Linked DNA regions of Kluyveromyces lactis. The protein of the gene in region 1 purifies or fractionates together with the protein of each later gene. This does not show direct contact. Links are inferred from orthologs where the notes say so. Each region holds a gene or a part of one and is shown on either strand. Other genes may lie near its edges.

Evidence for each region.
Region 2: the proteins of CUE3 (region 1) and RQT4 purify together in Saccharomyces cerevisiae (affinity purification with mass spectrometry; 4 studies listed by BioGRID, with this or other methods). This does not show direct contact. The link is inferred for Kluyveromyces lactis from reciprocal best matches to the Saccharomyces cerevisiae genes CUE3 and RQT4.

The regions. Positions count from the first base shown.
Region 1 is NC_006042.1:973,320-977,237, reverse strand, and holds CUE3 (Cue3p), read right to left. Parts: upstream 2,520-3,918; coding exon 636-2,519; downstream 1-635. Other genes in the region: ribosome biosynthesis protein NSA1, read left to right, coding at 1-540; VHC1 (Vhc1p), read left to right, coding at 2,785-3,918. UniProt on the Saccharomyces cerevisiae protein: Involved in activation of the ribosome quality control (RQC) pathway, a pathway that degrades nascent peptide chains during problematic translation.
Region 2 is NC_006042.1:1,284,469-1,288,158, forward strand, and holds RQT4 (Rqt4p), read left to right. Parts: upstream 1-1,682; coding exon 1,683-3,179; downstream 3,180-3,690. Other genes in the region: import motor complex subunit PAM16, read left to right, coding at 1-229; GSM1 (Gsm1p), read right to left, coding at 3,290-3,690.

The DNA.
Region 1 (3,918 bases):
AAGTATTCCACCAACGCTGAAGATTGTAGACCTGTGAAATCTATTACTCTTCTACCCAAAGGTGAGCAATTGAATTCTTGCAAAATTATAGGCGACACATCCCCACTGGGTAACTTTCAAAGTTCTAACTTTGACGAGCTTGAATTCTTAGCAGCAGACTCCAGAAAAGATGTGTACCAATTCAACGGCAAGGGACGCTTGTTGAGAAAGATTGCCAAGGGCGACATTACTGGTTTTGCATCTTGCATTGCTGTTACCGATAAATACTTACTTCAAGGTGGTTTGGACAGGTATGTTCGTATCTTTGATTTAGCCGATTATAAGCTCCTGGCAAAGATATTCACAGGCGGTAAGGTTTCTGATATTATACTCTTAGAAGACAATGACTTGGAATTACCTTTAACTGAAAAGCAATTGAAAATGAAGAAGAAGAAGGAAGCCAAAAGAAGCATCGTCGAAGCTGATGAAGATGCTGAAAATGAGGATCTTTGGAATAAATTAGAATCCAAGAAAAGGAAAGTTTCGAAGAATGATATTTAAAGTAAATGCATTTCATAATATCTACAGATAAATAGGAAGATACAGGATAATCGACTTCAATTTTCGTAAATGTATCTATACTGGTCTAATGTTCATCATAAAACACCACTTTTAGCTAACTTTTTATCGTGTCCCGCTTTTCTATTATGATTAGCACGACTTGATTTTAGTTTCTCGTTACGAGCATTTTTTCTCTTTTGTTGTTCTTTGGTAAGAGGTTCTTTGGTAGTAGGTGTTTTCTCTCTGCCAGAATCATTATTACTGTTAGTGTTAGGTGAATTTACGGTGCTGTCAACTACATGATGATCAAAACCTTCTTTATCCTCTCGTGCTTTTGTAAACGTCTTCTTGCCTTGCCGAACGTTCCCTTTGAAAATATACTTTTCTTCTAGCAGTTGTGCCCTCTTTGGACTCTTCTCAATCATTCTTGACCAACCTTCAATTTGTTCGTCAGACCAGTTAGTCTCTTTCTTCATTTCTTTCCGCTGTTTCGAGCCCCGTTGCTGACGGGAGAAAAGATTTTTATCCCTTTTCAATAATTCCCATAGATATCCTTCAATTTTATCGTACTTAGATGTGCCTGGTGTTATGGTTGATACCTTTGCTGTGTCAGAAGTATCGACGCTTACACGATCTGCAGAAGCTTGCTTAACTTCTGCATCGTCGTAGGTGTCATCCCTTTCATCTTCTGTGGCATCATATAGAAGGGATAAAGCTCTTGATAATGTTTTGTTTCTGACAGCATCAGGTACGTCGTTTGTAGGGAATAACATGTTTTTCTTTTCAATTTTGTCCTTCGGAGTGATGGCTGGCAATAAATTCTCCTTCGGCTTATGTTCCTCCATCAGGTTTTCGGTCGTATTCTGTATTTCGTCATCCTGCAGTGGCCCATCTTCGAGTGAAGATATCACAGATGGATTTTCAAACAAGTTATTGATTATAACTTCCGTGTTATTATCATACCTCTGCAATAATTTTGTTATCTGGTTAGAAGTAAGGTCCGGAAATAGTTCCTTGATTGTGTCTATTTGTTCAACATTGACACTAGGCATTAGCAGACCGCTTAAATGGGGAGCTGCCTTCGGTTCCTCTTGTATATCCAAAAAGGGGATTTTAGTTTTAATATGTGGCAACTTTTCCTGAAACCTGGCATCAATTAGAAGTGACCCTAAAAGTGGATACATTGAAAGTGTTCGTAAGTTCGTTATGCTCATTTGCTTTAACAAATCAGCCAAATGTGTGACGCTGCAGGACAAAAAGCTTAATATTCCAAGTTTCTTTCCCCAATCTGATAAATAACTCCCTGGTTCCTTGCCATACATTGACTCTAATGTATCAACCCACTTGGCAGACACAAAATTATCTGTAAATGAACTCTTCGCCTTATCATCAGCAGCTAAAAGCAATTCCAGAGACTTTAAATCCACTCTACTAAATTTATTGGCTTCTATCAAATATCTTATATGTTGCTGTATCTGGTACGTCCTATCCAATTGTGCTTTCTGAGTATTAATGGTCGGTCTTAAAGATCCTTCGATCAACGATCTGACAGTGGTTGCATTTCCCTCGACGTAGGACCGTGTTATGTCCCATAGAGACTCTGTATTCAACTTCAAGTATAGTAGCCCACAGCTTTTAATCAACTGTAAAACGTAAGCTCTTAAAAGCTCTAATTGCTTCAAAACATCTGCATTAATTCCCAAAGAAAGAAGTTTTCCTTCTTCTTCACTCATTTCATGCACATAAGCCTTAACGAAAATGCATAGATGATCAATGGTCTCATCACTGAGAAAGTCTAAGTTGTCACCATGTAATAAATAACTCATATGTTGCACATAAACTTCCAGCAAATGGAGCCATATCACCGGATCTTTCTCAACCATCGCCGCACGTAGCTTAAAAGGAGGGAACTTAACGATCGCCAGAGATATTTTCTCTTTGGCATTTATCTCCAAAACCCTCTGGTATCTTGTAGTCATCGTTTTCGTTGATTTTCACCTGTTAGATGGTAGTTCTGAGCATGCCTGAATGCTTCAAACATGATCGAACCATATCCATCAATCTCTCTGCATTTCAAATCTCTTCTTGCTCTATGGTGAAATTTCAAAAATCTTTCAAAAATGATAGACCCTTAAAGGAATTCGTCAAATCAAGCAAAGATAAATAACGAAGCGATAAAAATATTCAGATTAGCAGTGTTTTCAATGGCAAAGGTAACGACAGTAGTGCACTGTCACCACACTGATGTCTAAGTTCTATGAACTACCGGGTTCGCACCTTCCGTCACAATCAGAGCGCTCACCGTTGCTTAAGAGAAGGTCGAGTTTAACGTATTTCAAATATCAAGACACACCGTTACAACAAGAACAATCTTCAAAATATGATCTAGAGAATCCCCATAGAAATAAATTGGGAACATTCGATGGAGTATTTATACCCACTACGTTAAATGTGCTCTCAATTTTAATGTTCTTGAGATTTGGTTTCATAATAGGACAGATGGGTATTTTGGGAACATTTCTATTGTTAATCTTATCTTTTATCATTGATGTATCAACCACATTGAGCATTTCAGCTATATCGACCAACGGTACAGTGAGAGGTGGTGGTGCATATTACATGATTTCACGATGCCTAGGTCCTGAATTTGGAGGTTCTATTGGTCTTATCTTTTTCATTGGCCAAATTTTGAATAGTGGTATGAACATAGTTGGTATCGTGGAACCGTTGTTATACAATTTTGGTATCTCGGAAGGTGTGCTAACTCAAGTACTTCCAGAAGGGCATTGGTACCAATTTGGATACTCTACGGTTTTGCTTCTGTTATGTCTGGCGGTGGCTATGATTGGTTCACAGACTGTCTCGCGTGCTGGTAACGTTCTATTCTGGTTGCTATTGGCTTCTACAATCTCGATTCCTATCTCTGTTTTATTTGTGAAGCCTTTCGAACTTAATGGAATCGTGTACACAGGACCGTCTTTACAGATACTCAAACAAAATCTATATCCGAAGTTTACAAAGGGTGCAGCAGGCTCGGTGTTGAAGGGTTACGAAACGTTCAATGATCTATTCGGGATTTTTTTTCCAGCTACGGCAGGAATATTTGCTGGCGCCGGTATGTCCAGTGAATTGCGTAAGCCTTCCAAATCCATACCTAAGGGAACCCTTTGGGGCCTTCTGTTAACCTTCGTGTGTTATTCGCTTGTCATTATATCCTTAGGCTGTTCAGTCCCAAAAAAATCCTTGCATAAAGACGTGCAAATTATACAGACCGTGTCCGGTTTCCAAAGCATCATTCTGGTCGGTGAACTTTCCACTTCTCTATTCTCCGTCATAGTGGGTATGGTAGGTGCTGCTTATGTGTTGGAAGCAATCTCA
Region 2 (3,690 bases), about 310 kb from region 1:
GAATGAACAGGATATGAATTTGGATAAAATCAACGAAAGATTCAAGTATTTGTTCGAGATCAACGATAAAGAGAAAGGTGGATCATTCTACTTGCAGAGTAAGATTTACAGGGCAGCAGAGCGTTTGAAGTACGAGCTTGCTGAAAAGGAAAAGGCTGCCAATCCAGAACTGAATCAAGAACAAGCGAAGTCGAGTTCCACGACGGAGTCACCGGAGTTGAAAAAATAGCGTAAGGTCATTCTCTCTGGCCTAGTATAAGTTTTGTAAATAGTTCAAATAAACCGAAATACACGCATCGCATGCTCATCGTATCATGTTCAGCACAATATCATCAGTGGTTGATGAAGCTGATTTATGTCTACAACTAATTAATACAAAAATTCTCTAGAAGATGGGAAAACTGTTCCATCATGAAGAAGGGCACAACGGAGAGTGAAAATCCAAACTCTCAGGCAGCCATTACGCAAAGCCCTCTGGATCACATGCAACACCTGGAAGAACAACTAGAGCGAGCTGTTAAACCGCTTCTAATCATCACTTTCCAGACCTCTTCATAATGGTTAAAAGAAAGAAGTGATGCAAAAAACCGGGAAAAGGAAGAGACTTCCCCTCCCAACTCAATGCGCTTCCAACTTTATTGATCTAAGAAACCGGAAACGAAATGGAAACTGTGGCCAGCTTGTTTGGGGCTAGTCAGGATCCATTCAGCTATGGGTTAAAAAATGGTAACAGTCACTCTTCTCCAGTATTAACTAAAGCCGTTCCTAGATCTCCGAAGAAACCTAGGAAAAACTTCTTGAGAAAAGAGATAACCGAAACCGTAGGTTTCTATGGTGTATATGTGTATTAATATTATCTTGAGATAGTACTAACCACTACTGATGATTGGTTTATTAAGAACAAACATCAAAAAGATTTTCCAATCTTTGAACTGTAAGAGTGTTTGAAAGAGGTTCAAAGTGTTGAAAAATTTGCCACTTTTATACTATTGATCGGAAAGATTACCCGGACATACGTCTCTACTATTATAATTGATTTAGGGTTTTACCAGGTAAGATATCGTTGACCAGACAAGCATGTTGCAGATATTTGGGGCCCTTCATGGTGTATATTGCCTAGTCGAGAATCAGTTTATATGAAATGTAAATCTGTTCATCCAAGTGGGATCTTTTGAGTCGAACTTATAAGCAATATACTGCTCATCTTGCCCATGCAGCTCGTCCTACTCACTGCACTGCTTAATAAGTGTCAATATCCAGGAACTTCGGTTACTTAGAGTAGTACCCAGCTTCTGGGCTGTGGCACCAGCAGTAACTATACCGTTTAGATTTATATATAGTTATAGAAAGGTTCGGGTATTAATGTCTGTCAGTCCAAGATAATGTGACGTTAACAACCATTTGACAGTAAAGCTTCCGAAGCTGCTACTTTCGATCCAAGTTCTCGAGTCTATGATTCTTCATGAGATCACCTGGACAGCCACCCAATTGTTACAATAGACCTCTTGTTGGCTGATCGGTTCCACCTTTTCTTTCATAACTTGAGAACTCTCATCTTTTAAAGTGAAAAAGTCTAATATTGAGAGATGAGCCTTAGCAACTGAGAAAGTAACTACTCGTATCCAAACAACACAGTAAAAGGATATACATAGCACTGGAATAATATTGCCAAAACAGTCACAATGACGAAAGAGGATGCTATTGAGTATGCTATAAAGGAATTGCCCAACATTTTGCCACTAGATACAGAACAGATCAAAGATCTATGTGAACAGACGATAAAAGAAGGCAACAACCCTGAACAGATAGCCCAATCCTTTTTTGATCTTTTAGGGCAAGACGACTCATCGGTACATTTCATATTTGAGTTCAATGAGAGGCTCATGGAATTGCCCCGTAAAACGGCTGTCAAGAAACCAATAGTGAACGAAACAACCAATACTAAAAAAGTGATATCTCCATTGATTAATACTGTGAAAACCAATGATTCCAGGGCCGAGTTCGCCAACAAGTCTATTCAAGCAACGAAACCGATATTGAATAGAGAATTAAAAAAGGTACCGACTGCCAAGGCTGTGAAAAAGGATTCGGGGAAAGAGAGTAAAGAAGTCAGATTAGATTCATTGAAGGATATCGATGATGTGTTAAAGATGTTGGAGATGAGGTCAGTCTCTGGGGATTCCGGTCAATATAAATGCAATTGCCAGGGAACAAGGCACCCAATATTCGATCCTGCACCAAACTGTCTGTCATGTGGCAAAATAATATGTGTCAAAGAAGGTTTGCATATGAACAATTGCAGCTTTTGCGGAGCTGAATTAATCCCAGCTAAGGAACGCGAACAAATCTTAGAATTGCTACGGTTAGAGAGAGAACAAATAGAGCTTCAGAAAGTTGAAGAGAACAAGCCCAAGCCGAAGCAAACCAAGAAATATAAGATTAAATCTGGTGCAGGCACAAATTTATGGCAAGAACAAGAGAAAATGCTACAAAGAGTGGAGAAAGATCGGGAACAAGAGAGAGAGATTAAACGACAACAAATATTGAATGGGGAGTCAAAGGAAGAAGAGGAGGATGAACAACTTATTGAAGCACGAAATCGACTCGACAAGCTACTTCATTTCCAGGATACCAGTGCTGAAAGAACCAAGATCATTGACAATGCTAGTGATTTCGCTATGAATGAAGATGTCATGTGGGGTTCTGCTTACGAAAGAGCATTACAACTAAAGAAACAGCAAAGAAATTTACGAAAATGGGAAAAGATTGAGAATGAACGCAATGGAAGGCGTGAAAAGGTCGTCTTGGACTTGACGATCGGTAAGGATGGTAAAGTTGTTATGACAGAAGCAGTTAGAAAGAGCAGCAAAAAAACGAATGCAACTAGTGATGATGAAATAGATGATATTAGCGATGAAGAAGATCTCCAAGACTTGGAAGATATCAAGAATTTGAAGTTAGAGATAAATCAACAAAAACAGAAGGAGAGTTCCAAGTTAACAAACAATGTTTGGGATTATAACAAGGCGCAGTCGGAGTTTAAGAAACCTGTATACATAGCAAACGCTGAGGAAGAAAAAGAATCTGCTCCTAAAAAGGTATCAAATGAAGTTCATCGTGTCCAAGTAGGTATTGATGATAGACCATCACTTCAAGATAGCATTTTGGCAATTTTGTGAAATTTGTCTGCCCGGACCGCCGATGTTTCCATAATCAATAAATAAATGTGTTGGAAAATTTATATATAGTTACATATCGAGCAAGCGTTACGGTTGGAACAATTCGACTATCATTCAATATCGAAAATTGGTAAGAACTGGCCCATTATTAACATTGGAATATTAAATGCATCTCTTTTAACTGTCCAAATACATGCACACCGTAGATAGCATCCATTCTTTAACAAAAGGTTACATTCGCTAAAAATAGCCTGACCATCAGAAGTTCCGGTCGATGAATTGAAGGGCCCACTTTGAGTTGAACCAAATGCCAAATACTCATGGAATATATCATAGTAATCTACTATGCTTTCATTGTCCATGAATTCCATGATAAACTTTCGTTTGTTTAAAATCTCCTTTTTGTTGAACCCGGTAAGGGATATAAATTCATTAGAAGCAAAGCATATCTCCCCTGACCTTCTCCATATACACATTGGGGTACAATTTACAAGTTTGGCCATGCTTTCAT